Stegostoma tigrinum: one gene and its partners. The protein of the gene in region 3 interacts with the protein of the main gene of each other region in a biochemical or structural test. Links are inferred from orthologs where the notes say so. Each region holds a gene or a part of one and is shown on either strand. Other genes may lie near its edges.

Region 1 (10,276 bases), on a different chromosome or scaffold from region 3:
AATTCACATTGCCACCTATCCCATTCTTAACCTTTTACCTTCTTGCTTATCATCAATCTATCCACCTCTATCTTAAAAATATTAAAAGAATCTGCCTCCATGCGTTTTAAGGAAGCAAGTTCCAAAGATTGTTGACCCTTAATTCTAGATTCTCCCATGAGGAACTTCTTCCCCCCCCAAGCCAAGGATTTTACAGGTTTTAATCAAATTTCCTGTTAGTATTCTGAACTCCAGTGACTAGAAGCCTAACCTGTCCAATCTTCGTCATAACAAAGTGTGGAGCTGGTGGAACACAGCACGCCAAGCCAGCTCCACACTTTGTTATCTTGGATTCTCCAGCATCTGCAGTTCCTATTATCTCTGATCACAACCTTCCTCATAATCCACCCATTCTAGACATTTACTACAGTGAGCCTCTGAACGTATTCTAATATATTTACATCCTTACTTCAGTAGGATGTCCGATACTGTATATGGTACTTTAGATACGGGTCTTACATGTGTCTTGTATAATTGAAGCATAATCTTCCTACTTTTGTATTCCATTCCCCTCAGAATAAATTACAACACCCCATTAGCTTTCCTAATTACTTGTGTACCTGCTCACTAACCTTTTATGATTCATGCACTAGGAATCCCGATTATTGTGAACCTGTAAACCCTGCAATCTTTCACTATTTAAATAACTTGTCTCTTTGTCATTCTTCCAGCAATACGAACAATTTTACATTTCTGCACAATGTATTACATTTGTCAGATCTTTGCTAACCTACTTATCAGTATCTTTTTGTAGCCACTTAAATCCTCTTCACAACTTACTTATTTTACAACCTACCTATTTTTGTGTCATCAGTAAACTGAGTGTTTATATCATCTCTTCCTTCATTGATTTGATTTGATTTATTGTCATGTGTACCTAAGTACAGTGAAAAGCTTTGACTGTGAGCAGTACAGGCAGATCGGAGCAAGCACGAATATACAGATCAGTGAGTGAAAAACAAAACCTGGACAGAGTCGGGAATACATGTTACACTGCACAGGAAGTGCACGAGGCATGATAAACATTAACAAGAACAGCATTATTCAAAATTAGAATCCATTCATCAGTCTAATAACAGTTGGGAAGAAGCTATTCTTGAACCTGCTGGTGCAGTTGTTCATGTTCCTGTATCTTCTACCTGATAGAAGAGTTTGTAAGAGAGCATTACCAAGATGGAATGGGCCTTTGATGATCTTGGCAGCCTTTTCACGGCAATGACACATGATCCAGCAGTGGGATCTTGACCCCTACAGTATATCATTTGATTTTTTAAAAAATTCATTCATAGGATGTGGGCATTGCTGTCATTGAAGGGAACATAAAAAAATCTTGTTGAAATAAATTATTTTAATACTCTTATTTTGATACTTGTAATCAACTTGTTCAGATGTGTTATAACACACCTCCGGAGCAGGTGGGGCTTGAACCAAGTATTCTATCTCTGAGGCAGGGACATTACCACTACAGCACAGAGATAATGGGAACTGCAGATGCTGGAGAATCCAAGATAACAAAGTATGAAGCTGGATGAACACAGCAAGCCAAGCAGCATCTCAGGAGCACAAAAGTTGACGTTTCGGGCCTAGACCTTTCATCAGAGAGACCCTTCAACACTACAGCACAACAACCTTTGCATTAATCAATTCATTCAAACAACTGGTCACCCCATTTCCAATACTGAATTAATAAATAGAAGTGTGAGGGACTCTCGTTGTGCAGTGTTGATATTGCTGCCTCTGAGCCAGGAAGCCTGGGTTAAAGTTCCACCTACGCCAGATTTTTGTTATAACATCTCTGAACAACTTGATTTCAGAATCATACCCTCTTTTCGATTGGGAAAGCCAGACTCCCTGATCATGCAAAAACAGAAGTTGCTAGAAAAGCTCAGCAGGTTTGGCAGCATCTGTGAAGAGAAATCAGATTTAATATTTCTGGTTCAGTGATCCTTGCTCAGAACTGATGGTAGGTAGCAAAATATTGGTTTATATGCAGAAGATAGGTTGGGGGGAAGGGGAAGGAGTAAACGAAAGGTTTGGATAGAGCCCAAAGAGAGAGAAGAGCAGTTGGATAACGGAGGAGATACAATCTGGCTAGGAGGGCGAATAGCTGTTAATGGAAACTGTTAATGGCTAACAATAGTGTGTGATAGTGTGATTATGTAATACAAGGCCTGGTGTCTGGGGTAGAGGGCTAGGACATGAGACAGTTCAGGCCCTAAAATTATTGAAGTTGATATTTGGTCTGGAGGGCTTCAGGGTCCCGAAGTGGAAAATGAGGTATACTTCTTCTAGTTTGCACTGAGCTTTGCTGGAACTCTACAGCAGCCCTGCGACAGAAATAAAAACCGAAAGAACTGCGGATGCTGTAAATCAGAACAAAAACAGAAGTTGCTGGAATAGCTCAGCAGGTCTGGCAGCATCTGTGGAGAAAAAATCAGAGTTAATGTGTTGGGTCCGGTGAGCCTTCCTTTAAATGATGTTAGCCAGGGAACAAGGTGGTGTGTTAAAGTGGCAGGAAACTGGAAGATCAGGATCATGTTTGCTGGCAGAACACAGATGCTCCATGAGGTGGTCACCCAGTCTTTGGAGGAGACCACACTGTAAGCAACTAATGCAGCAGACTAGATTGTGTGAAGTGCAGGTGAGTTGCTGCACAATCTGGAAGTTGTGTTTGGGACCTTAGATACTGAGAAGTGAGGAGGTAAGTGGGCAGGTGTTACACATAAGGTGGTTGCAAGGGAAGGTGCCGTGGGGCCGTTGGGTGGTGTTGAGAGTGAAGGAAGAGTGGACTAGGATGTCCCAGAGGGAACAGTCCCTGTGGTAGGCAGACAAGGGAGGGGAATATGCATCTAGTGGTAGCATCTTGTAGGAGGTGGCAGGAATGGTGGCTGATCTTCTGGATGTGAATTCTGGTGGGATGGTAGGTATGGACAAAGGGAACCTATCACTGTTGTGGGAGGGAAGAAAGGGGGAGAGGGCAGAAGTGTGGGGGATGAGTCGGACCCGGTTGAGGACCCTGTTGACAATGGTGCTAGGCAATCCTTATACTATATATTAAAGGAAAAAGATGGACATTTTGGAGGCTCCCTTGTCGAAGTTGGCCTCATCAGAACAAGAAATGTGTTTTTTTCCTTTCAGGCATCAATGCTCACGAGATGCAACAGCTCAGAGATACCCATGACCCTCTGAAACCTTCCTTTCCTCCCCTTCCCTCTGACTCCATTTCTTCCTCAAACCCGACCACCTGTCGGGCATTCACCACCTCTCCCAACCTTCAAACATTCTGTGCTCAGCAAAGGTGTCAGCTTTATCCCTCTGCGACCCACTTAATGAGCTTCAGGCATGACATGAAATCCAACTCTTCTTCTGCCATCTTTGCCTTTGTGCCATTTTTTGGACAAGAGTCCTCTCCCCATCCCACAGACCCCTTCATCCAGCTCGAACACTCTCCCTCCACCCGGACCCCTCCTTCTGGCCTTTTACCTGCACTTGATCTGTTCACTGAGAATTGTCGATGTCAATTTCTCTGCCCCCTCCCTTAACCAATCCAACCTATCTCCTCTGAACTGACTGCACTCTTTGTGCTCAGATCCAACCCTGACTTTGTTATTAAGGGGGGTGCTGTTGTAGTTTGGTGCACTGACCTCTACATTGCAGAGGGTCAAATACCTCCTCCTATCTTCCTCTGGACCATGACCCCCAACATGGAACATCAGGCCATTGTATCAACTATGGTCACAGACCTCATTTCATCTGGTGATCTCCTCCCCACTGCCTCCAAGCTAATAGCCCGCCAACGCTGCACAGCTTGCTTCCACCTTCTTCCAAAAATCCACAAACAGGGCTGACCCATTGTTTCGGCCTGCTCTTGCCCCACAAAGCTATCTATTCCCACCTTGACTCAGTCTTTTCTCCCCTGAGTCTAGTCCCTACCCATATATATATCCATGATTCCTCTGATGCTTTATGCTAGTTTTGGAATTTCCAGTTTGTACACTCCAGCCGCCTCCTTTTTACCATAGATGCATGTAAACTTTACACCCCCATCCTCCACTAGGATGTTCTCAGGGGTCTTCAACTTCTTCCTGGAGCAAAGGCCTGAGGCATCTCCACCCACCACCAGCCTCCTCCACTTGGTTGAGACTCTCCTCACTCTCAACAACTTCTCTTTTAATTCCTCTCATTTTCTTCAGGTCAGAAAAGTGGTCATGGGTCCCAATTATAAATGTCTCTTAATGGGGGATATTCCTTCTTCCAATCCTCTCCAGACCCCTCCCACAACTCTTTCTCTGATATATTGATATTGTTGGTGCTGCTTCCCTCTCTCATCTGGAATTGGAAAAGTTTCTAATTTTTTACCCTGCCCTCACTTTCATCTGGTCTATCTCTGACTCCTCCCTTTCTTGATATCTTTAGTTCCATTTCTGGGGATAACTTGACAATTAATATCCACTGAAAACCCACTGAATCCCACAGCTACCTGGACTACACACCCTCACACCTTGCTTCGTGTAAAGACTCCATTCTATTCTCCCTGTTCCTCTATCTCCATCGCACATGTTCTGATGAGGCCAACTTGCACAGGGAGCCTCTGAAATGTCAACCTTCTTCCTCAACTGAGGATTCCCCAGCACCGTTATCAACAGGGCCCCCAACCAGATCTGAACCAGCTCCTGCACTTCTTCCCTCACACCTGCTTTTTTCTCCCACCGAACAACAATAGGGTACCCCTTGTCCTTACCTACCATCCCATCAGCATTCAAATCCAGAAGATCATCATCCATCATTTCTGCCATCTCCAGCAAGATGCTACCACCAAACACAGATTCCCCTCCTCTCTCCTCCCTTGTCCACCTACCGCAGGAGCTGTTCTCTCCGAGACACCCTGGTGCACTCTTCCTTCACTCACAACAGCACCGTCCCCTGCAACCGCCATGGGTGTAACGTCTGCCCATTTACCTCTTCTCTCACTCAATCTAGTCTACTGCATTCGTTGCTCACAATGTGGTCTCCCCAAAGCGTAGGTTGGGCAGCCACTTCACAGAATATCTATGTTCTGCCTGCAAAAGTCACCCTGAGCTTCCAGTTGCCTGCCACTTTAATACATCACTGTTCCCTGGCTAACATCTCCATCTCAGGCTTGCTGCAGCATTCCAGCGAAGCTCAGAGCAAGCTGGAATAACAACACCTCAATTTCCACTTGGGGATGTTGAAGCCCTCCAGACTCAATATAGAGTTCAATAATTTCAGGGCCTGAACTTCCCCAGGTCCTCGCCCCTCACCGCACAAAGCAGGCCTTGTTACCACATAGTCTGCCATTGTGCGCTAGCTATTGTTAGCCGTTAGAAGCTATTCACCCTTCTAGCCAGATTGTTATCCACTCCTTTGTTTGTCCAACTGTCCTCTCTCTTCGGGCTCTATACGCATCTATGGTTTACTCCTTACGCTCTGCCCCCACTCTATCTTCTGCATATAAACCAACATTTTCCTGGCTACCATCAGTTGAGGAAGGGTCACCGGATCCGAAAAGTTAATTCTTCTTTCTCTTCACAGATGCTGCTGGACCCACTGAGCTTTTCCAGCAACTTCTGTTTTTTGTTTCTGATTTATAACATCCGCAGTTGTTCAGGATTTTATTTTGCTCACCGAAGATGGACATGTTGGTCAATCTGGGTGGGCACGGCCAGCTGCGGAGAGTGGTAACGTGATGACATCTCCCAGAATAAAGCCAGTCAGAGCTAGTTCGTTAAACCACCCGATGACTGAAGTTACGGGCATTTGTTTCCATGTGATTTCTCGTTAATATGTGCCCTTCAAATAACCAAACGGTTTAAAACGGAATCAAGGACTCCGCCAGCTACGAGCTACGACATCAAAGACTCTTAGACTCCACCGTGATTAGTCGCGGCTGCGCAGGAGGAAGAACAGTCTGTGACCAGAGAATCGTGACTGCCCAAACTGATTGACAGTTCGACGCTGCCACACAGACGGCACTTCTGGCACGATAGCGTTCCGACCAATGGGATGGTCGAGGAGGCGGGCTGAGGGCGGAGGAGGACGGCGCCGGTGTCACCAGCTGCCGTTTTGGAGGAGGAAGGTTTGGGGTGGGGTGGGGAGGGGAGGGGAGGGGAGGGGGAGAGAGGCGCGTGCAGTGACGTCAGGCGAGTCGAGCATGGCGGTTTGAAACTGTAACCGTCGCACGTTTAAAAGGCGTCACCGTAGTGATGGAGCCGTCGGCGCCCAGAAGGTAGTGACAACCCCTTTCGGAGACGTCGAGGGGGCGGTGGGGGTAGAGGCAGAGGCGGGTCGTTTGATGCATTAAATGCAGTGGTTGTTTACAGGAAGAAGATGAAACTTTTACAGAGTTTTTTCTTCTCTCTACTCACTCAGTTTATGTTTGTACGTGTTGTTCCCGAAGTCAGTTCAGAAGGGCATCGAAGTTCCAGTGTTTTTAAATACTGCTTGTTGTTTTCCAACTAGAAGTGACTATCATTGTAGGCTTGTTTTTAAAATTGTTTTGTTTCTGGTCTTGGTGAAATGGTGTCGAGGGGAGCTTTAAAAACATGAATATTTGGGAGGAAGTTAATTCGGGGAGATTATGTTCCTGATTTCTAGTACTGGAGTTGATCCTGAATTTCTCTTTTTGATTTCCCTTATCGCCGGGGATAACTTTACGATGTTGTAATGCTTTGCAACACACTGTCATTACATTTCTTTGGGAAAAGAAAGAGTAAATTTGTTGTGCAGTAGTTCAGGTCCCCAAGATGTCACAGACCACAGTGCACCTTTTTTTGAAGATTTGTCAATGACACTGTTTTCCTTGGGGGCGGGGGGGGAAGGAAAGAGTTCTAGAAATTAAAAATCTGATACTAATGATTAGAACCTGCTCTTGGTGATTTGGTGATAACAAGGTGTTGAGCTGGATGAACACTGCAGGCCAAGCAGCGTCTTAGGAGCAGGAAAGCTGATGTTTCAGGCCTAGACCCTTCATCAGCAATGCATCTTCTACCTCAATTCCATGCTCCTTGCCCTAACCTTTTCTCTCTTGAGGATCAAACATTTAAATAGTCCAGCCTTGAATATAATCAATTCATATCCTGAACTTCCTTGGGTAGAAAATAGCTGTGTGTGTGTGATCTCCTCAACTGCTGCTGCTGCTGTGTTCTAAATTCCCCAAAAGACCTCTTGAGTTTACCCTGCCAAGCCCCTGCAAAATCTTGTATGTTTCCAGGAGGTAACTTCTCCATTCTACTGAAACTGCAGATTGTCCCAAGTTGCTTAGCCTCTTGGCAGAATACAGCTTTCCCATCCTAAAAATTAACCTATTTGAATCTTCTTTACTTCTTTCTTAGACATGGAAATCAAAACTGTACTATACTTTGTACAGTCTTGCCAAAGCTCTACATAGTACAATTGTAACAAGACTTCCATATGCAATTTCCTAGCAATAAAGGCCAGTGTACCATTTGCCTTCCTAATTGCCTGATGTATATGCATCCTCTGTGTTCCTTGTATGAGGATACCTGAGTACAGGTGAATATCAACATTTACCAGTCTGATGCTTAATAAAAATATTCTGCCTTTCTACTCTGACCAAAATGAATAACCTCAAACTTTGCCACATAATGTTCCAGCTGCTTTTGTTGCCCATCCAAGCTGTTGGCATCTCTTTGCAGCCTGTTTTGGTCATCCTGACAACTTATCATCACCTAGTTTTCTATCAGAAGTAAATTTGGGTATTAAGTCCTCACTTAAAATTTAGATTGTTTTCCTGAAAATCATTGGTTCCCAGAGAATAGAACAGTACAGGCCCTTCGAAGCAGATGTTAAATCTGTATTTTGGTTTTGTAGGACCTACCTTATCCTAAAAGTCTAGCAATAATACTACTAGGCCATTGCCTCACTAATGTAAGTACTTCTTAAACGTTATGAGGATTTCTACACAGTTACAAGCTGTGTTCCAGATTCCCATCTCCTTCTGGAGTTACCTTATACCCAAGGCCCCATCTTTGATCCCTCCACCAAGGGGAAATGTTCCTTTTCTACCTTATCTATGTCTCTCATAATTTTATGCATCTCAATCATGACCCCCTTCTGTTTCCTCTACTCTGAGGAAAACTCACCCAGTCTATTCAATCTCTACTCATAACTAAAACTTTCCAATCCAGATAACATTGTAAAAAACCTCCTTTGCAGCCTCTCCAGTCCAAACATAGCCTTTGTTAAATGGGAATTCCAAAATTGCACAGTATGGTCTATGCCGTTTCAACATAACCGTCCTGGTGGATAAGAACAACAAGTTCCCACTGATCCTTGGTACTACACAAGGTCCTTCCCTTCATAACAAAAAAATGCTGGCGATCACAGTGGGACAGGCAGCATTCATGGACAGAAAGCATGCTAATGTTTTGAGTCAAGGTGACTCTTCAGACCTGAAGTGAAATGTCGATGGGGCAAAATTTTTGCAGTAGTTTGGGGGTGGGGTGGGGAAAGGATGTTGATAGTTCACATTAAGTGATTCTCATGTGAGATCACTTAATCTGAACTATTAACATCCTTTGATAACAAGGTGTGGAGCTGAATGAGCACAGCATGCCACGCAGCATAGACCCTCCTGAAACATCAGCGTTCCTGCTCCTAAGATGCTGCTTGGCCTGCTGTGTTCATCCAGCGCCACTCCTTGTTATCTCAGATTCTCCAGCATCTGCAGTTCCTATTATCTCTATCACCATCCTTTTATTGAGTTCAAATTGCTGCTAACAGCCTATCCTTATTCTCCTATAATCTAGGGCAATCCTCCTCATTATTTACCACCTCATTCATTTGTCCTTCAGTCTGAAAAATGATTTTTTACCATGACTACCTTAAACAATATTTAACCAAACTGACACTGACTCGCCTGCTCCACGAATCTTTATTTTATTAATCAGTTTCTGACATCGTATTTTCTCAGTACTTTAAATCTGTATGAGCAATATCTGCTACTTTCCCTTCAAAACTTTTCTCTGGTATTGCATCAAAAAATTATTAGATTGATCAAACATAGAACATAGAACATTACAGCACAGTACAGGCCCTTCGGCCTTCGATGTTGTGCCGACCTGTCATACCAATCTGAAGCCCATCTAACGTACACTATTCCATGCACGTCCATATGCTTGTCCAATGACGACTTAAATGTACCTAAAGTTGGCGAATCTACTACCGTTGCAGGCAAAGCGTTCCATTCCCTTACTACTCTCTGAGTAAAGAAACTACCTCTGACATCTGTCCTATATCTTTCACCCCTCAATTTAAAGCTATTCCCCCTCGTGCTCGCTGTCACCATCCTAGGAAAAAGGATCTCCTTATCCACCCTATCCAACCCTCTGATTATTTTATATGTCTCAATTAAGTCACCTCTCAACCTTCTTCTCTCTAATGAAAACAGCCTCAAGTCCCTGAGCCTTTCCTCGTAAGACCTTCCCTCCATACGAGGCAACATCCTAGTAAATCTCCTCTGCACCCTTTCCAAAGCTTCCACATCCTTCTTCTAATGCGGTGACCAGAACTGTACGCAATACTCGAAGTGCGGCCGCACCAGAGTTTTGTACAGCTTCTCCATAACCTCTTGGTTCTGGAACTCGATCCCTCTATTAATAAAAGCTAAAACACTGTACGCCTTCTTAACAGCCCTGTCAACCTGGGTGGCAACTTTCAAGGATCTGTGTACATGAACACCGAGATCTCTCTGCTCATCTACACTGCTAAGAATCTTACCTTTGCCTTTTGTAAATCTGTTCTAGATGTCCTTAATTAAGTGTCTCCAACTGCTACTTCAACTAGTGCATTTTTGCGTAAAATTGTATTGCCATAATTTTCAGGTTGAGTGCATTTTTCTATTTTTTACATTTTATCACTAAATTGGTGTGGGTGATATTGCAGGTTGTTCAGCTCAGTAGACTTTGTTGGTATTTTACCTTCACTCAAACCTCCTCCCATTCTGTTAAATCTCATACAATCAGAATACCTTTCTATTCCTTTCTCTCCTGTGTGCTTATCTCGCTATTCCTGAAATACATCTTTATTGTTTGTCTAAATCACTCTAAGTAACTTCCCTGAATACATACCCGAATCCCTGAGTCTCCCTTTACCATGGTACCTTTAAGTGTATTTGCCTTCTCCTGTTCCATTTGCTGAAGTGTGTTCCAAGAATGATTCTGCAGCCTTTTCTGAAAACTTCCACACGCTTTACATT
Region 2 (10,356 bases), on a different chromosome or scaffold from region 3:
CGAGTTAACTCCATACACAGCATAAGAGAGTTGAGGAATCTATTCCAAGTTTTAAATTTTTTTTGAGCTTTGAGAATCAGTTTGACTCATTGATCAAATTGAAGGACAAATGGGTTACTTTGCACATCCATACTTTATAAACAGGTTTCATTTACGAAGTACACTGCACATCCGCTTGTCCTACTAAACTGGATTGCCTCAGATTTTTACCGTATATTCAATCTGCCATGTACTTGCTCACTCATCAAGTCTGCCTCAAACTGCCTTGAAATAAGTTTGCATTTTCCTCACAACACACATTCCCACCTAGCTTTTTGTTCATCTGCAAACTTGGAAATACTTCATTTACCCCCATATCCAAATCAGTGTTTCATATTGTGAACCACTACAGCAACAAACACTGATTTTTGCTGTATACAGTACCAGGCACTGCCTGTCAATGCAGAAATAACTTGTTTATTCTTACTTTCAGTCTTTTGCCTGTTGTCCAACTCTGGATCCACACCAGCACATGACCATGTATTTCCATTTCGCTAACCAGCCTTGTGTGAGAGAATTTATCAAAAACATTCTGAAAATTCAAATATGCTACATTCACGGACTGCCCTTCAACGATTCTGCTTGTAACATTCTTCAAATATATCCTCACAAATCTACGTTATTTATGTCCAAACAAATTATTATCCAAGTGTCCATTTATCACATACTTCATAACAAATTTAAAGGTTAACAAGTCTGTATTTCCCAGTTTTCTCTTTCCCTTCCTTCTAAAACGCAGATAGCAGGGTAACATTGACCGTGTTTCAATTTGAAGGAACCATTCCAGAACCTATAGAATTTGGAACGTGACCAGCAGAGCACCCATATTTGCAATAATTATCTCTTTCAACATTCTGAAATGTGGAACTTTGGGACCCAGGAACTTAACCTTCAAAGCAATTCATTTCTCCAGTCTACTCACTAATACAAATCTTCTTCAATTCTTCATTCTTCTTTTCCCTTGAATTTCTAAGTCAGGGAGATTTATTGCTTTCCTTAGGTGAAGATAAATTATTACGTGGTATCTGACTTCTCTGCCATTTTTCTATTTCCCATTCATGACTCTCTCTGCAGTGGACCAAATTTGTCTTAGCTAATCATTTCCTTGAGATGTAGAAAATACGAGGAGGTCTCTTGGCCCTTGAGGCTGCTCTGCCATTCAATGTAATCATAAATGATTATTCAATGTTTTGACCTGAACCACCTTCTGTAGGAAAGAATTCCAGAGATTCACCTGTCTTTAAGTGTAGAAACCTCCCCACATCTCATTCCTAAATGGCCTACTTCATATCCCAAGACTGTGATACTTGGCCTTCAGGAACATCCTTCCTGGGCAGACCCTATTGAGTCATGTTAGAATTTTATAGGTTTCTAGGAGATACCCCTTCATTCTTCTATAGTCTGACCAATCCAGTCTCTCTTCATATGTCAGTCCTGCCATCCCAGCAGTCAGCTTGGTTAAACCATCACTGCACTCCCTACGGAGCCAAAACGTCCTTCCTTGAAAAAGGAGACTGAAACTGCACACAATAGTCTGGGTGCGATCTCACCAAGACGCTATACAATTGCAACAATACTTTCACTGTAACGTACTTTCACTTATTAGCTATACTTGGGTCACCCTTCCAGTATTATTTTACTGGATTTGGTGAGGGAATGCTTACATATAAAAAAAGATTAACACAAAGAAGACAGTCTTGTATAAAATTTCAGAATCCATTAACACAGGAAGTCATGACAGAAAAAGTACACTGCCAAGGTATTTGGGATATCATCACATGTTACGTGACTCAGTCAAACAGTTTCAACCTGATGTCTACAAATCAGAACCTTCTAAAGCTACAAGCATGATCTGATATCCTGTTTACAGGTTCAATTTAACACCACCCAGAAAAAAAATTAAACTGCATATCTGTTAAGCAGCATAAACATCAGGACATACTGAGATAAATATCATGAGTCAGGGTACATCACATTATAAATAAGTTCTGAATCTGAAATTGTTCTGCTTAGATCAATAGTAACGTCACATCACGGTTTGCCCAATTGAACTAGCTAAACAGAGTTCATGTGAACCCAAGGTGGCAGCAACACACTATAAAGTAAATATTTATATTTGTTATCACATTCTTCATATATAATACTACAGCTAACCAAACTGTTTATTTAAACCAGGAAACCTAGCTGCAAGGACAGAATCACTATTGCAAGGAGTCATTGCTGAACATTTTATTCAAAATACTAAAAAACAACATGGCATGGATAGAGGATTGGTTGACTAATAGAACTCAAAGAGTAGGGGTAAATGGGTGTTTTTCTGGTTGACAGTCAGTGGCTAGTGGTGTGTCTCAGGGATCAGCATTGGGACCACAATTGTTTACAAGTTACATCGATGATTTGGAGTTGAGGATTAAGTGTGGGGTGTCAATATTTGCAGATGACACTAAGATGAGTGGTACAACAAACTGTGCAGAAGACACTGAAAGTCTACAGAGGGATATAGATAGTCTAAGTGAGTGGGCAAAGGTCTGGCAGATGGAGTGCAATGTTGATAAGTGTGAGGTCATCCATTTTGGTAGCAATAATAGCAAAATGGACAATGTTGTAAATGGTAAAAAATTGCAGCATGCTGTCGTGCAGAGGGACCTGGGTGTCCTTGTGCATGAGTCGCTAGAAGTAGGATTGCAGGTGCAAAAGGCAAGTGGAATTTTGGGTGGAGTTTAAAAACAGGGAGGCTATGCTGCAGCCGTATAGGGTCCTGATGAGGCCACACCTAGAGTACCATGTGCAGTTTTAGTCTCCTTACTTGAGAAGATATATACTAGCACTGGAGGGGGGTGCAGAGGAGATTCACTTGGTTGATTCCAGAGTTGAGAGGCTGGCTTATGAGGGGAGACTGAGTAGACTGAAATTATACTCATGCGAATTCAGAAGAATGAGGGGTGATCCTATAGAAACACATAAGATTATGAAGGGAATAGATAAGGTGGAGGCAGGGAGATTGTTTCCACTAGCAATAGAAGGCATCACCTCAAAATAAAGGGAAGCAGATGTAGGACTGAGGTCAGGAGAACTTCTTCACCCAAAGGGTTGTGAATCTGTGAAATTCCCTGCCCAATGAAGCAGTTGAAGCTACCTCGCTGAATGTGTTTTAGGCAAGGCTAGATAAATTTTTGAACAGTAAGGAAATTACGAGTTATGGTGTGCTGGCAGGTAAGTGGAGCTGATCTTGATCTTATTGAATGGGGGGGCAGGCTCGAGGGGCCGAAAGGTCTACTCTGCTACTAGTTCTTACGTAACATAATAGTTTGAGCACATCATCCTATGTCTGCTACGGGAGGGGGCAAAGAGTGTATATGGGGTGGGGTGGGGTGGAGTGGGGAAGGAGTGTAGACTACGCAGATGGGGGTGAAACAGTGTAGACGGGGTGGGGGGGGGGGTTAAGCGGAGGAGTGTAGACGAAGGTTTGGGTGAAGATCGAAGATGCCGGGGGAGTGAAGATGCCAGGGGGTTGGGGGGGGGGGGGGAGATAGAAGTTGCGGGAGTGGGGGGGGTGGGGAGAAATGAAGATGCAAGAGCGGGGGGAGGGAAGTGACAATATCGGGGGAGAGCGGGGGTAGGGGAGAGAGAAGAATAGATGTTGGGTCGGGGACAGAGAACAGTAGATGCGAGGGCTGGGGAGAGACGACAAGTTGCGGTGGGGTGGGGGGGCGGCGCTGACAGGAGAAGAGAGGAGATGCAGACAGGGGGAATTGAAAAGTAGATGTGGGAGCGGGTGTAGAGTTGATTCAGGGCGGGGTTCACCCCCTCCCTACACATCACTAACCATAGCTTCCAGATCCGCCCACGTCGTCTTCTGCGAGTCACACACCAGGAAAGTTTGTGTATCGCCACCAAAGGTCACGTTCAGTTTGATTTGCTCCTCCATACCTCCACGGTGGGTGAGAAGCTGGCGTCCGCCCGATGACAATGATAGTGACAGTGACAGTAATTACTTTCCCCCCCCCTCGGCACCAGAGGCTTCTGTTTACATCAGAGCCCTGCAGTTACCCAGCATCCACTGCGGCCCAGGGTAAACACGGTCGCCCATTGGCAGCTAACCAGTCATCTGACAGGATGTGACGTCATGCATAACGCCTTTGGCCGGGGGATTACACACTATTCGTCAAAACAAATCAGAGACCGGATAAAATGTTGGATGTTGGACCGTCAGATGAAGGATCGTCTAAAACAATAAGTTGGCAGCTAGAATCTGGCGGGTATAAGTTAAAAGCTTGCAGCGTCGTCTTACGTCATTTTTTTAATACAAACGGTGCGCCTATGCGTGCACCGTCATTCCGGTGCGTGTCATGTCCTGTGACATGTGTGAGCGCGGGAGACCCAAAATATGGCGATGCTTCGAGCTGAGGGTAGTGCTTGAGATCACTGTCGCATGCTGCTTCAACTTTTCATTTCGTCCGGTATTTTATCTTTCTCTGATTAAAATGCGTGTGATTTTCTGTGTTTGTAGCAACGGACCCTAGCGGTATGTGTGTTTTTTTGGGAAGACTGGATTCTGGATGAATGGGGAGCGGGGAATGAATAGAACGTACCTTGCGATTCCACAGCGCCTTTGACATCTGCTGTTCCTTCCGAAACGTTTTAGAGTGATCGGTTTACAATGTGACTCCTGTTATAATGCAGAAAGCACAGGAGGTGCCTGAGCTCGGCAGATTCTCAACATAAGATAGTCACCATATCAGAGATAATGGGAACTGCAGATGCTGGAGAATTCCAAGATATTAAACTGTGAGGCTGGATGAACACAGCAGGCCAAGCAGCATCAAAAGCTGACGTTTCGGGCCTAGACCCTTCATCAGAGAGGGGGATGGGGAGAGGAAACTGGAATAAATAGGGAGAGAGGGGGAGGCGGACCGAAGATGGAGAGTAAAGAAGATAGGTGGAGAGAGTATAGGTGGGGAGGTAGGGAGGGGATAGGTCAGTCCAGGGAAGACGGACAGGTCAAGGAGTAGGGATGAGGTTAGTAGGTAGATGGGGGTGCGGCTTGGGGTGGGAGGAAGGGATGGGTGCGAGGAAGAACCGCTTAGGGAGGCAGAGACAGGTTGGACTGGTTTTGGGATGCATTGGTTGCGGGGGGAGGGGGAAGAGCTGGGCTGGTTGTGTGGTGCAGTGGGGGGAGGGGACGAACTGGGCTGGTTTTTAGGGATGCAGTAGGGGAAGGGGAGATTGTGAAACTGGTGAAGTCCACATTGATACCATATGGCTGCAGGGTTCCCAGGCAGAATATGAGTTGCTGTTCCTGCAACCTTCGGGTGGCATCATTGTGGCAGTGCAGGAGGCCCATGATGGACATGTCATCTAGAGAATGGGAGGGGGAGTGGAAATGGTTTGCGACTGGGAGGTGCAGTTGTTTGTTGCGAACTGAGCGGAGGTGTTCTGCAAAGCGGTCTCCAAGCCTCCGCTTGGTTTCCCCAATGTAGAGGAAGCCGCACCGGGTACAGTGGATGCAGTATACCACATTGGCAGATGTGCAGGTGAACCTCTGCTTAATGTGGAATGTCATCTTGGGGCCTGGGATAGGGGTGAGGGAGGAGGTGTGGGGGCAAGTGTAGCAAAGTGTGGAGCTGGATGAACACAGACCAAGTTGCAGCTTAGGAGCACAAAAGTTGACGTTTTGGGCCTAGACCCTTCATCAGAGGTTTTCTGATGAAGGGTCTCGGCCCGAAACGTCAGCTTTTGTGCTCCTAAGCTGCTGCTTGGTCTGCTGTGTTCATCCAGCTCCACACTTTGTTATTCCAAAGCTTAATTTATTTGTGCTGCTGTCTTTGTGATTGGACTTGAAATATGACGAGCCAAAAAAGTAGTAGTAATATGATAGCTGAATTTGTGTTTTGTCACTATTAATTAGTAATAGGAAGGACAGACACTGAGAATGAGTATGTTTCTTATTCCCTGGTTTTGAAGTCAAAGCAAGTGGAATTAAGTTTTTTTTATAACTATGGGTGCTATTTGTGAGAAGGTGGCAGTGTTAGAATGGAAAAAAAAACTTCAATCCATAGTCAATGAAATGCTTAAATCATATACACTTGGCACAATGGATTAATATATAGTTGTACTGTTAACAAGTTTGTGTGTTCCTGCATTTTACCACAGGACTGAGACCTTGAGAAATAAAAGTTGAATTGTGTAAAGCTGATTGCAAATCTGTGGAAGTAAGAGCAAAAACAAAACATTGTCGATGTTAATTTCAGATTTCCAACAATCCTGGAAAGACTCAGCAGGTCAGACAGCATTTGAAAAGGGAGAAACAGTTAAAGTTTCAAGTTAAGAACTTTTTGTTCGGATCAAGAGGTTACAATACTATAACAAAATTTTAAATAAACACAGGGAATAATAGTTGTTCAGGTTTCATTCCGATTCAGACTGGAGTAATCTTGAGATCCATCTCCTTGCTCTGCCCCTGAGAAAGTCTGCCATTGACACCCTATGAGGCAAAACCAAAATGCTCAGGATGATACTTCAGCTTATAATGAGCTGGGAGGGAGAAAGAAGGGGAATGTATGATCGTGTCTAAACGAACTAACAGGGATGATTATACAAGACAAAAAGTGATGGTGGTAGGGTAGCAAGATCAGAAGTCAAAAACAGTGGATGCGTGAGAGCTGAAATTGGCAGCATCAGGACCTGAAACAAAAATGGAAACGGTGATAATGACTGACCGTAAAATGTTAAAGCCAGTTTTAATTTTAAAAAGCTAATGATGAAATCTAAGATTTTTTTCATACATTCACATGATTGGGGCAGCACTAGTTCTTTATTGCCTTAAGGTGATGTGAGCTGCTTGCTTCAAACTTAGCCATTTGAAAGTATAGGAACACCCACAGTCCTGTCAGGAAGGATGTTCCAGGATTTTCACCTAGTAACAGCGAAGAAATCTCAAGTCAGAATGGTGTGTGGTGGGAACTTGCAAGTTGTGGTGTTTCATGGTGCACTGCTTCTTATGAGCACCACTCTGTTCTTTGCTCTCAGCATATGTGCTTGGGTCACAAATAGTTGTGACTATGCTAAATAATTCAATTCTGAGAAAGGGTCACTGGACCTGAAATGTTAACTCTGATTTTTCCTTCACAGATGCTGCCAGACCTGCTGAGCTTTTCTAGCAATTTCTAGATTTACATAGGATATCTGGGTGGCATGGATGAGTTGGACCAAAGGGTTTGTTTCTGTGCTGTACATCTCTGACTATTTCCACCCCCTGCTTTCTTTCCTTCAGGGTTTCAGAGATAATTCCAGTTCAAGAACACCTTCCTTGGATCTGATCATTCTCATCAAACTGGTCTTGTGCTGGGGAAAGCTAGAGTTTATTCATGAGCTGTTTAAGACAGATTTAAGGGCAGACCAAGAGCTGTGGGCATTTTTGTGGTTCCTGTTCATTGATTGTAGAATCCCTACAGTATGGAAACAGGCCATTCGGTCCAATGAGCCCACACCGCCCCTCTGAAGAACATCCCATCCAGACACATTCCCCTACCCCTACATTTCCCTTGTCGAACCCATCTAATCTAAACATCCCTGGACACTCTGGGCGATTTAGCATGCCCAATCCGCCTAGCCTGCACTTCTTTGGACTGTGGGAGGACACTGGAGCACCCAGAGGAAACCCACGCAGACACAGGGAGAATGTGCAGACTCTGCACAGTCACCTGAGGCTGGAATCAAACCCGGGTCCCTGGCACTGAGCCACTGCGCCATTCATGGAATATCATCTGATTGGCTTATGTTACTGCTGCAGTTCTTGGGTGAGGCTGATGGAGATAGCAAATTGTATTAGCCAATGATTAGTCCAGCAGTTGCAGATCCTGGCATGTCACGAGTGATGTGAACACCTCATGGTCCCTCAAGAGTAATAGCATGTGCTCAATTTTGTTCCTAAGGCAAGTGTGCTGCCATGAGGTCTTGAATTTATCTCTGTGACAAAAATAAATACTTGTTATAACCAGATTCTGCCCTGGCCAATTCCATCAGGAGGGCAATTCATTGACGGTTGCCTTCTTTGCCAGTCACCTGCTTTTTAAGAGATTTGTGTGTGGTAATGTAAACTGTGTAATTTGTGTATTTCAGTACCTTTTATGTTAGTTTGGCATATGGGGTTTTGAAATCTGTAGTTTAATGATGAGCTTTTAAGTGTTTCTGTAGCCAAGAGAGAGTTCTTGTGATCTAATTGAAGTTTATCACTGGGAGCAAAGTAAACAGTGTATGTTAAGCAGTTCAAATGTCTGTTTATTTGTTTGGTTTTTCTCCCCTCTTTTTTGATAGGGATGCTATCTGTAGCTTAAAGTTTTCGGGTTTCAGTTTGTCAGGTTTGCACAAGTCTAGCATGAAGCTAGATGTGTAAATCAGTTGCTCCTATAAAAAGGAGTTAACACTATTTAACAATTGTAATTGGTTTCAGTATAAAGAGTAATTTTCCAGGTTTCCAGACCAGAAGTGTTTGGTTAAAATCTTCAAGGAATTATGTGAAGCTGAAGAAGTCTAAGCTTAGTTGTGTGAAGAAACTGAGACCCAGGACAGGGAATTGATATCATAGCTAGGTCAAATCCTCAGTGGGAAAAAGAAAGCCATTGTCTCAGCTGTTTGAATATTGTAAAGAAATGTCATCAGGCTTTATGGGGTCACATTTTATCATGCGTTTCAAAATCTTTGTTATATGTAAATGGATGGTTTCTTCTATTTTATACTTTCTTTTGCCTAATACAGTTCTGCTTTATTGTTAAAAACATAAATCTGCAGCATTTGCCTGTTTTTGCTTTAACTGAAACAGCATTGCACTAAAACAAAAAGTCAAGCCAGACTTTAATCTAGAATTTGACTTGCCCAGCAAAATCATCCACTCAGATAATAACACCTATTCCTCGCAAATGCAGCACTGAATTTGAGGAGAATCATCATCTCTCTCTTTGAGACACAGGGCAAGACTGAGGCTGGAGTAGAATGCTACGTTGGCCTTGATTATTGTTCTTCAGCTTGTGGCCTATGCACTGCACTCTAAGTAAGAATGAGCCAAAGAATCCCAACAATTAAGGAGAGTCGGGGGGGCATTACAAAAGAGAAAGTGCTAGAAAAGCTAAAAGGTCTAAAAATTGATAAATCTCCTGGCCCCGATGGGCTACATCCTCGAGTTCTGAGGGAGGTGGCTGAGGAAATAGTGGAGGTGTTGGTTGTGATCTTTCAAAAGTCACTGGAGTCTGGGAAATTGCTGTTGTAACCCCCTTGCTTAAGAAAGGATCAAGACAAAAGATGAAAATTATAGGCCAATTAGCCTAACCACCTTTTTTGTTTTTCATTCAATTGCATTTAATTTAATCTGTGCCAACTCAAATTTCATCAGTCAACTAGCAATTGAAACTTGGTCACTTTCACTGAGAAGTTGACATAAGAAAGATATCCTCTTAGATAAAAACAGAAAGGCAGATGCTGTCAACCAGCAACAAAAGCAGAAGTTACTGCAAAAATTCAACAGGCCTGGCAGCATCTGTGAAGTAAAATCAGTTAATGTTTCAGATCTGGTGACCTATTCTGAGGAAGCATCACCGAACCCGAAAAATTAACTGATTTTTCTTCACAGACGCTGCCAGACCTGCTGAGCTTTTTCAGCAACTTCTGTTTTTATACCCTCCTACATAACCTAAAACATTCCTTACACAAAAGTGGTAGTGGAAAATACACAGTTAAAGAAGGTGCTTTTATTTTGTTCAGGTGGTATAGATAAGATGTCTTATCTGACAAACAGGGTAGAAACTGGATGATGCAGGCTATCAGGTATTTATACAACCCTCCTCTCCCATTTGTCATGCCAGTCCAGATAATGTAACTTCTCAGAACCTAGCTTCTTCTGGGTGGCTGTTTTTGTTACTAGACTCCTGTAGCTAGCAATGGCAATTTTTCTCTTTTTTTTTTCTAATGCACTGAGCTATTCACCTCGCATTTTAATACCACATCGAAATGCTTGATAACAAAACAAATCTTGAGTCATCCCACTGCCACTTTCAGAACAAACCCAGAATGAAACTTTAAAACCATGTCCCTTCCTCGTTGTGTATGTTGATGAAGTAACCCCCCACCTAAAAACTCCAAGCTTGTGCAGCATCTGCAAGATATATGCCAGAAGTGTGGTAAATGCTTCCCACTTGTTTGGATGGGTGCAGTTGTAGCATCATATCCACAAACATTTATTCTGTCTATCAATGATGCTCAGTAGCAGTAGTGTATGGGATCCACAAGATGCACTGTAGAAATTCACCAAGGCTGCTCAGCATC
Region 3 (10,262 bases):
CAATTTAGCACGGCCAACCCACCCTAACCCGCACATCCCTGGGCACTATGGGACAATTTAGCACGGCCAATCCACCCTAACCCGCACATCCCTGGACACTATGGGACAATTTAGCACGGCCAATCCACCCTAACCTGCACATCCCTGGGCACTATGGGACAATTTAGCACGGCCGATCCACCCTAACCTGCACATCCCTGGGCACTATGGGACAATTTAGCATGGCCAACCCACCCTAACCCGCACATCCCTGGGCACTATGGGACAATTTAGCACGGCCAATCCACCCTAACCTGCACATCCCTGGACACTATGGGACAGTTTAGCACGGCCAATCCACCCTAACCCACACATCCCTGGGCACTATGGGACAATTTAGCACGGCCAGTCCCACCCTAACCCACACATCCCTGGGCACTATGGGGCAATTTAGCACGGCCAATCCACCCTAACCGACACATCCCTGGGCACTATGGGACAATATAGCACGGCCAATCCACCCTAACCCACACATCCCTGGGCACTATGGGACAATTTAGCACGGCCAACCCACCCTAACCCGCACATCCCTGGGCACTATGGGACAATTTAGCACGGCCAATCCACCCTAACCCGCACATCCCTGGGCACTATGGGACAATTTAGCACGGCCAACCCACCCTAACCCGCACATCCCTGGGCACTATGGGACAATTTAGCACGGCCAATCCACCCTAACCCACACATCCCGGGGCACTATGGGACAATTTAGCATGGCCAATCCACCCTAACCCGCACATCCCTGGGCACTATGGGACAATTTAGCACGGCCAATCCACCCTAACCCACACATCCCTGGGCACTATGGGACAATTTAGCATGGCCAATACACCCTAACCCACACATCCCTGGGCACTACGGGACAATTTAGCACGGCCATCCCACCCTAACCTGCACATCCCTGGGTACTATGGGACAATTTAGCACAGCCAATCCACCCTAACCTGCACCTCCCTGGACACTATGGGACAATTTAGCACGGCCAATCCACCCTAACCCGCACATCCCTGGGCACTATAGGACTATTTAGCATGGCCAATCCACCCTAACCCGCACATCCCTGGGCACTATAGGACAATTTAGCACGGCCAATCCACCCTAACCCGCACATCCCTGGGCACTATAGGACAATTTAGCACGGCCAATCCACCCTAACCCGCACATCCCTGGGCACTATAGGACAATTTAGCATGGCCAATCCACCCTAACCCGCACATCCCTGGGCACTATAGGACAATTTATCACGGCCAATCCACCCTAACCTGCACATCCCTGGGCACTATGGGACAATTTAGCACGGCCAATCCACCCTAACCCACACATCTTTGGGCGGTGGGAGGAAATCCGCACAGACACGGGGAGAATGTGCAAACTCCACACAGACAGTTGCCTGAGGCTGGAATCGAACCCGGGTCCCTGGCGCTGTGAGGCTGCAGTGCTAACCGCTGAGCCACCGAGCCGCCCTGTGTTTGTTGGGGCTGGGGGTGTGTGGAGGTGACATCCTCCCACACACCACATACACTCTCTTTCCCAAACAGTGGAGGATGTGGGAGCCAGTTGTCAATTTTAAATCTGGGATAAATTATTTCCTTATTGAGAAATTTATTTAAGACTTTTATTTCCCTTTTATTCAGAGATCTGGGCCAAGCTTGATGGGCTGAATAGTCTACATTTCTTCCTATGACTGGCCCCATCCCCAACTCATAGAATGCCTACAGTGCAGGTAGCGGTCATTTGGCCCAGCCTGGGCCCCTGAAGGGCATCCCACCGCGCACACTACAGCATAGCTAATCTACCCTAGCTTGCACACCTTTGGTCTGGTGGAAGCTCTTAGATGAAACACACGGGAGAATGTGCAAAACTCCCTCACAGGCTTCTGAAGAAGGGTCCAGAACCAAAACATCAGCTTTCCTGCTCCTCGGCCTGCTGTGTTCACCCAGCTCTACACCTTGTTGTCTCAGGTTCTCCAGCATCAGCAGCTCCTACTATCTCCCTCACAGACAGGTGTCCAAAGCTGGAATTGAACCCAGAGCACTGTGAGGCAGTACCTGCTAACCACGGAGCCACCATGCTGCCCTGCACTGCCCTAGGGTATCCTGTGGGGATATAACAGTCCTGGGCGCTCACACAACAGTGGGAAAGACACAAAGTAGGATACTGAATGGTCTCAGAGGAACTGGAGGAACACAGCAAATCATTCAGCATTGGAGGAGCAGGAAAGTGGACGTTTTGGGTTGGGACCCTTGATCAGATCCTGGCTGAATGGTGTCCTTTCTGCTAACCCATTGTTATTTTGTGTCCCCATCCAAGAGGTGAGGTTGTGCTGCACACAGAGAGGTGTTAACTGCTTAGTGCCAAAGGAAACATTCTGAGTAGGAGGACTGTCCATGTTGTTTGGGCAGTGTATTCTCAAGGGATGCCGTTATAATTTTTTAAAACCAGATATGACTCAGCTCCAGGGCAGACGAGTCTTCAAATTAGGCCTCCTGGCTCAGAAGCACAGTATTTACTAATGTGTCACAACCTCCCTCCTCTGTCAAAATCTGCACATCACAGTTTGATTTATTTATGTAAACCGTCACACTGCAGTTGCAGGCTGCAGCCACCGGGTGGTGTGGTGGAGCAGCACTCCCCTCAATCTGCTGCAGTCTTTGAGAGGATGAGAATATTCACAGGAGATAGTAGGGGCTGCAGATGCTGCAGAATCTGAGATAACACGGTGTAGAGCTGGATGAACACAGCAGGCCAAACAGCTTCAGAGGAGCAGGAAAGCTGACGTTTCAGGTCGAGACCCTTCATCAGAAATGGGGGAGGGGAAAGGGATTCTGAAATAAATAGGGAAGGGGATGAGATGGACTGAAGATGGATAGAGGAGAAGATAGGTGGAGAGGAGAGTATGGATGGGGAGGTAGAGAGGGGATAGGTCAGTCTGGGGAGGACAGATGGGGCAAGGGGGCGGGATGAGGTTAGTAGGTGGGAAATGGGGGTGCAGCTTGAGGTGGGAGAAGGGGATAGGTGAGAAGAAGAACAGGTTAGGGAGGCGGGAATGAGCTGGGCTGGTTTTGGGATGCAGCGGGGGAAGGGGAGATTTTGAAGCTTGTGAAGTCCACATTGATACCATTGGGCTGCAGGGTTCCCAGGCGGAATATGAGTTGCTGTTCCTGCAACCGTCGGGTGGCATCATTGTGGCAGTGCAGGAGGCCCATGATGGACATGTCATCTAGAGAATGGGAGGGGGAGTGGAAATGGTTTGCGACTGGGAGGTGCAGTTGTTTGTTGCGAACTGAGCGGAGGTGTTCTGCAAAGCGGTCCCCAAGCCTCCGCTTGGTTTCCCCAATGTAGAGGGAGCCACACCGGGTACAGTGGATGCAGTATACCACATTGGCAGATGTGCAGGTGAACCTCTGCTTGATGTGGAATGTCATCTTGGGGCCTGGGATAGGGGTGAGGGAGGAGGTGTGGGGGCAAGTGTAGCATTTCCTGCGGTTGCAGGGGAAGGTGCCGGGTTGTGGTGGGGTTGGAGGGGAGTGTGGAGCGGACAAGGGAGTCATGGAGAGAGTGATCCCTTCGGAATGCAGACAGGGGTGGGGATGGAAAAATGTCATTGGTGGTGGGGTCGGATTGTAGATGGCAGAAGTGTCGGAGGATGATGCGTTGGATCCGGAAGTTGGTGGGATGGTATGTGAGGACGAGGGAGATTCTGTTTTGGTTGTTATTGTGGGGACGGGGTGTGAGGGATGACTTGTGGGAAATGAGGGAGACACGGTTGAGGGTGTTCTCAACCACTGTGGGGGTATGTTGCAGTCCTTGAAAAACGAGGACATCTGAGATGTTCGGGAGTGGAATGCCTCATCCTGGCAGCAGATGCAGCGGAGGCGAAGGAATTGGGAATAGGGGATAGTATTTTTGCAGGAGGGTGGGTTGGAGGAGGTGTATTCTAGGTAGCCGTGGGAGTCAGTGGGCTTGAAATGGACATCAGTTTCTAGGTGGTTGCCTGAGATGGAGACAGGGAGGTCCAGGAAGGAGAGAGAGGTATTAGAGATGGTCCAGGTGAACTTAAAGTTGGGGTGGGAGGTGTTAATGAAGGTGTTGGTGAATATTCACTACCTGTTATTATGTTGGGAACGGGGAGGTATCAGCAGTTGGATTGGAAGGGGCAGAATGGAAGTACAAGGCTATAGGAAACTGCACAGGAAGGTCCCAGCTTTGCAACCAGAATCTTATCAGCAGTATTAGGCTGTTAGTGACAAGATGCTGCATCATTCAAGCAGAATCACAACTGGTAAAGAAATGTAGGAAGCGATAGACTACAACTCCCCACAATCCACTCCTCTCCAAAATGACTAACTTACTCCCACCTCACAGACAGAGAGTTCTTGGGAATTTCTGCTTCCTCATCCAGGCTCACAATCCTTGTCCAGAGGGAATGCCGCACTGTCGGAGGATCAGCGCTGAGGGAGCGGGCACTGTCGGAGGGTCAGCGCTGAGGGAGCGGGCACTGTCGGAGGGTCAGTGCTGAGGGAGCGGGCACTGTCGGAGGGTCCGTGCTGAGGGAGCGCCGCACTGTCGGAGAGTCAGTGCTGAGGGAGTGGGCACTGTCGGAGGGTCAGTGCTGAGGGAGTGGGCACTGTCGGAGGGTCAGTGCTGAGGGAGGGGGCACTGTCGGAGAGTCAGTGCTGAGGGAGCGGGCACTGTCAGAGGGTCAGTGCTGAGGGAGTGCTGCACTGTCGGAGGGTCCGTGCTGAGGGAGCGCCGCACTGTCGGAGAGTCAGTGCTGAGGGAGCGGGCACTGTTGGAGGGTCCGTGCTGAGGGAGCGGGCACTGTCGGAGGGTCAGTGCTGAGGGAGTGCTGCACTGTCGGAGGGTCTGTGCTGAGGGAGCGGGCACTGTCGGAGAGTCAGTGCTGAGGGAGTGGGCACTGTCGGAGGGTCAGTGCTGAGGGAGTGGGCACTGTCGGAGGGTCAGTGCTCAGGTGCTGCGTAAAAAGAGTAGGGGAGATGCTGGGGCTACAATTTGGGTATATCTTCCTCGCAGGACAGGCTGAATGGCCGCTTCCCTACTGTGAGCCCCACATTCTACAGGAAACCACACCATCATCACACCAGATCCTTCAACGAACTTCTAGTTGACCTTCAATGAAATGTAACAAATTAACTAAAACCGTAAGACGTGTGGAAGTCAGAAACAGAAATTGCTGGAAAAACTCAGCAGGTCTGGCAGCATCTGTGTAGAGAAAGCAGAGTTAGCATTTCGTGTCCAGTGGCCATTCCTCAGAATTTTGAGGAAAGGCTGAGAGAGCTAGGGCTTTTCTCTTTAGAGCAACGAAGGATGAGAGGTGACTTGGTAGAGGTGTACAAAATGATCCGAGGTGTAGATAGAGTGGACAGCAAGACACTTTTTCTGAGGGTGGAGGTAGCTATTACGAGGGGGCATGGTTTTAAAGTGAATGGGGGCAGATATAGGGGAGACGTCAGAGGTAGGTTCTTTACTCAGAGAATGGTCAGGGTGTGGAATGCATTGCCGGAGAGGGTAGTGGAGTCGGCCTCATTAGGGGCATTAAAGTGGCTATTAGATAGGCATAAGGATGATAGTATAAGGTAGAGGTGGGGGTCTGATAGACCTTAGGTTTGGAGTGAAAGTTCGGCACAACATCGTTTCTATGTTCTGCCAAATCCACTGAGCTTTTCCAGCCATTTCTGTTTTTGTAAATAAATTAATTACTTGAAACAAGACTAATTGGTAAACGCCCCTTAAAGCAAGACTGATCGACCTGAAACAATACTCCAGCAGAAACTAATGGCTTAAGTAAATCTTATTGTCGATGCCCGACTGTTTAACTGGTTAATTTAGAGTGAAGATTGGGGTTGCTTGGACGGGATGTTAAAACACGCGGGCTGGTGGCTGAGGAGGGGCAACGAAAGCATTTTTGTTCCCTGTTGGGAAGGGAGAAAAGTTTCTTTTGGAGAAAGGCATGGCTCCCTCAGAGAGGACCCTGGATTGTAGACCCTTCAAGGAGAGGCGTAGTTTGGGTGAGGGGTTTTATTCTTTTTAGGAAAATCTTCCTTATCATGAAATGCACGCGTCAATTCCACTCTATTTCCAATCTGTTTTTAAATCTAGTTCTAAACGCCTTTTGTTTAAACTTGCTTCTCTTTTCAGTCACTTCAGAATTTTGTTTAGAAATCAAATTATTCACGTTTGTTTGTTTTTTTTGTTGTTTATTTTGTTTTGCTTAAGCTTTCAGGAGAAGTGAAGTAATTAACATCCGCAGGAAGTACCCCAACAAGCTACCGGTCAGTCAAAAAGCTTTTATTATTGTTATTTAAAATGTTGAGAGGTGGAAGGGGGGGCGGTTAGTGTGCCAGGAAACGGTGTACAGCTGCAATGTGATCCTCCTTGCTTTTTCTTAGTTTAAATCCCTTCCCTTCTGCAAATGTGAAAAGAATAATCGATTAAGTCTACCCTCTGTGCACGACTCTAAACCTGTTAGGTCCTCACTACAGAGAACTTGTTAACGCCATGACGTTTGCTTGTTTTTAATATGTAACTTTGCACCAGCCAGAACACGCTACACTCGGATAAGTGCGTATTTACTAGGACGATACTCTTCCCGGATAACAATCTTTCCTGTGTTTTTATTCAACACCAGGGTATTAGAATTTAAACATCAAGTGAATAACCAAATCTGCTTGTATTTAAAAACTCCAGGACTTATTAAAGCTAATGTTTGCCTTGTTTCTAGCACCACCACCCCCGCCCCCCCAAAAGAAACTGGGAACTGTCACCTTCTGAGGTGTTCCGTACAATGCCTTGAGAAATAAACAGATCCCTCAGGGAGAGACTTAGTCAAAATTCCACTTACGGAATGAGTCAGTAATAAACCTGGAACATATTAAAGTTAGAGCCACAATGACTTGATTTTCAAACCTCTTTTGGGTCACCTAATGCCCCCCCTTTCCTTTTAAGGGAAGGAAATCTGCCATCATTATTTGCGATTCCAAACCTACAACCTGATCCAACTTTTTGCCCTTGAAACGAATCATTTTCAGTTCAAGTAACGAATGTGGTTTGGGACAGTGTTTTAATGCGCCCAGAGGAGGTGCTGCTGAGCTGCCTTCACGGTATCATTCCACGGTGTTCCAGGATTTTGTCCCAGTGAGGCTGGATTCCTGTTCCCAAGTCAGGACGGTGCATGGCTCAGAGGGGAATGCACAGGGGATGGATTCTGTAGATGGTAGAGCTTATAGGTTTGGAAGGTGCTATCTAAGGAGTTTTGAGATCTTACAATGCATCTTTTGTAGGTGGTATGTAATACTGAGTGCCAACTTGGGGGGCTGCTTTGTCCTGGATGGTATTGAGTTTCTTGAGTGTTGGGGCTGCCCCCATCCAGGGGCAAGTGGGGAGTATTCCATCCCACCCTTGCCTTGCAACGGACAGGTTTTGGGGAGTCAAGAGATCGGTTACTCATGGCAGGATTCCCAACTTCTGACTGGCTCTTGTGGCCAGGATACTGAAAAGCTGGTCAAGTGACCTCTTTCCCCCAGAATAGTAGTGGATTCCAGTTTTTCCTATCCATTTGGCTAATCCTACAGGAGGTGGAATGGGAGTAAATGGGGATTTTTGGCCCCTGCAGATAGAGTTGGCATTTAGTGACTGTTCATGGCATTTTGAATGTGTGTATCCTGATATCTCTATCTCTCAGGTGATTGTGGAACGATACCCAAAGGAGCGATCCCTACCTCATTTGGACAGGTCAAAATACCTTGTACCTCTGGAACTCAGCCTATGTCAGTTCATGATCATTATCAGGTACAGCTGACCCTGTTAAATCTCCCATAACCACTGCTCTCCTCCCAAGGATTAGAGGTCATGGGGAGGAAAGAGTGGGCACCTGCTTGAGGGAGGGGGAGATGTGTAGGGCTTCCCAATACCCTGGATGGTCTTTAGGACACTGGGGAGGGGGCTGAGTTGTAGCGACTGACTGATTGGCCTCTTGAAAAATCTCAGTGGGTCTGGCAGCATCTGTGGAGGAGAAATCAGTTAATGTTTTGGGTCCGGTAACCACCTCTTCAGGACTAGTAGCTAGGAAAAGGTCAAATTTTATGCATAAGATAAAGGGGGGAGGGTGGTTGAGGAGTAAGTGATAGGTGGAGACAGAGCCCAGAGGAGTGGATAAGGTGGCTTGGGAGGATGACAGATAATGGGGATTATTTAGTGGCATGTGGATTTATTGGGACTGAAGCCTTCGGTTCTGATCCCTCTCCTTACCAGCTGCCCGTGAGTAATCTGGTCTGTTTGCAGTCTTTGTGTCACGCTTGGCCCCTGAGATAAGTGCCTGATGTCCCTAAGGACACCCTGTCTCCCAGTTCATCTGCTGAAATCCTCACTCCTGCCCCTATTTTGCCTCTAATCAGGATGATGCCCAACTGACTTGATTATCCAAATTCAGTCTTTAAGTCTCATCAATCTCTGGCAATTTAGTTCTCAAGCTAATGGTCTTGTTTTCCTGTTTCCTTCCCCCCCACCCCCTGTTGAATCAGGCAACACCTGAATGTTGAAATTCTCCACTTGTTTTCAATTCCTCCCAGACCACTTCCCAATTCTACACTTTTTTTTTCTGTAACCTTCTCCAAAGCTTTCCTTGACCTGTGTTCTGGAATTCCAACTGAATCCTTTTTCTACATTGCAATGTCTGCTGTCCTGACCATTGACAGCAGAGGAACCTTGCATCCCTGAAACATCTCCACCTATCTCTAATGCAGCTCTAACTCCCACCACCCCCCCATCTCCCTGCCACAGTGTGTCCTGTTTTTAGTGTGTGAAATGCACAGCTACAGGGATATGTGGGTGAGATGATTAGGACAGCATGCTGACTCTCAGCACCAGGGGCCCAGGTTCGATTCCACCCTCCGTTGACTGTCTGTGTGGAGTTTGCACATTCTCCCTGTGTCTGCGTGGGTTTCCTCCAGTTTCCTCCCACAGTCCAAAGATGTGCAGGCTCGGGTGGATTGGCTGTGCTAGGTAGGCCTGTGGTGTTCAAGAAGGTGTAGACTAGTGTGGGGATGGATCTGGGTGGGGTGCTCTGAGGGTCAGTGTGAAAAGAGGCTTCAGTTGGCATTCCAGTGAACTTAGTGGGCCGAAGGGCCTGCCTCCACACTAGGGGTTATAAGCAGGAACAGCTGATTATATTTTCAAGTGGGGTTTGGAGCTGAACTTGTTCACATCCAGCTGCTGCCCTTCCCCCTTTTAGCAGGAAGGGGGATTGATTCGAAGTTTGGAACGTCCTTTTTGATTCACTATGCTCAATGAATTGCCACTTTCCTGTGGCTTGTTTTTTTGAAGCTGGGAAGGTTTAATTTCTAGCAAAGTAGAATGCCATGCTGTGGTGAAGTTATCACACTTGGTTGGTCTTGTACAGGGCTCATTCCATTCACGGGAAACTTTCAGCCCATGAGGTGACTTCGAACTCTAGAATGAAAGTTGAATGAAGGAAATGGTTCAAATGGGCTCTAGTCTGAAATGCTTTACCCTGAACCCAACAGTGATGCCTTGCATGTAGCGAATGTCACTCCACTCAAACATCCAACTGGTCAAGTCCACTTCAGTAGCTGAATATCCTATCAAACATCTCACATGGAAGTGTACAGTACACATTAGCAATCACTTTATTCCTTCCTGTGATCATTACCTGAGAAATATTACACACATTCAGGCTTAAAGTTTATTTACAACACATAAACAGAATGCATAAGTTAATGCTCTCCTTGAATTTTTACTTTTGCACCACATGTAGACAAACATCAGGACTTTCTGGCTGGGGAAATATTTTTGTCAAGCTTAATACTAGATGGTAGCTAGCAACTTTGGTTTTTTTTCTTGAAGTAAACTGTTTAAATTTTAGAATCCAAAGAATTAAAACTAAATGAATTTAATTCCTGAGCCACAATGAAATGTATTAGCTTGTTAAACTCCCACAGTGTTCTACAGGCCACTAGTTCAACCATGTACTGATCTGTTTTAGAATAGACTTGTGCTATTTCTGAATGTCTACCCAAACTAAGCAATGTGACTCTGCCCCCATTCAAAATGTGCAATCAATAATCCCTTGCTTTAAGTCTGCCTGTTTTATGGTGACTGCCTCCCTGACCAAGTGTCCTGATTTGCAAACCCGTGAGTAAGTCATCTGTTTCCCTCAGGAGTCGAATGTCTGTCACCTCGAGCCA

What was found.
Region 1: the proteins of microtubule-associated proteins 1A/1B light chain 3C (region 3) and stk3 form a complex in vitro, tested with the Homo sapiens proteins (2 studies listed by BioGRID and IntAct). The link is inferred for Stegostoma tigrinum from reciprocal best matches to the Homo sapiens genes MAP1LC3C and STK3.
Region 2: the proteins of microtubule-associated proteins 1A/1B light chain 3C (region 3) and nbr1a form a complex in vitro, tested with the Homo sapiens proteins (2 studies listed by IntAct). The link is inferred for Stegostoma tigrinum from reciprocal best matches to the Homo sapiens genes MAP1LC3C and NBR1.

The regions. Positions count from the first base shown.
Region 1 is NC_081358.1:121,913,715-121,923,990, forward strand, and holds the start of stk3 (serine/threonine-protein kinase 3), read left to right. Parts: upstream 1-6,172; 5' UTR 6,173-6,263; coding exon 6,264-6,286; intron 6,287-10,276. UniProt on the Homo sapiens protein: Stress-activated, pro-apoptotic kinase which, following caspase-cleavage, enters the nucleus and induces chromatin condensation followed by internucleosomal DNA fragmentation.
Region 2 is NC_081384.1:16,098,673-16,109,028, reverse strand, and holds the start of nbr1a (NBR1 autophagy cargo receptor a), read right to left. Parts: upstream 4,105-10,356; 5' UTR 3,968-4,104; coding exon 3,866-3,967; intron 1-3,865. UniProt on the Homo sapiens protein: Ubiquitin-binding autophagy adapter that participates in different processes including host defense or intracellular homeostasis.
Region 3 is NC_081395.1:6,214,768-6,225,029, forward strand, and holds the start of microtubule-associated proteins 1A/1B light chain 3C, read left to right. Parts: upstream 1-5,804; 5' UTR 5,805-6,010; coding exon 6,011-6,068; intron 6,069-6,276; coding exon 6,277-6,332; intron 6,333-7,741; coding exon 7,742-7,848; intron 7,849-9,690; exon of another isoform or gene 9,691-10,235; coding exon 10,236-10,262.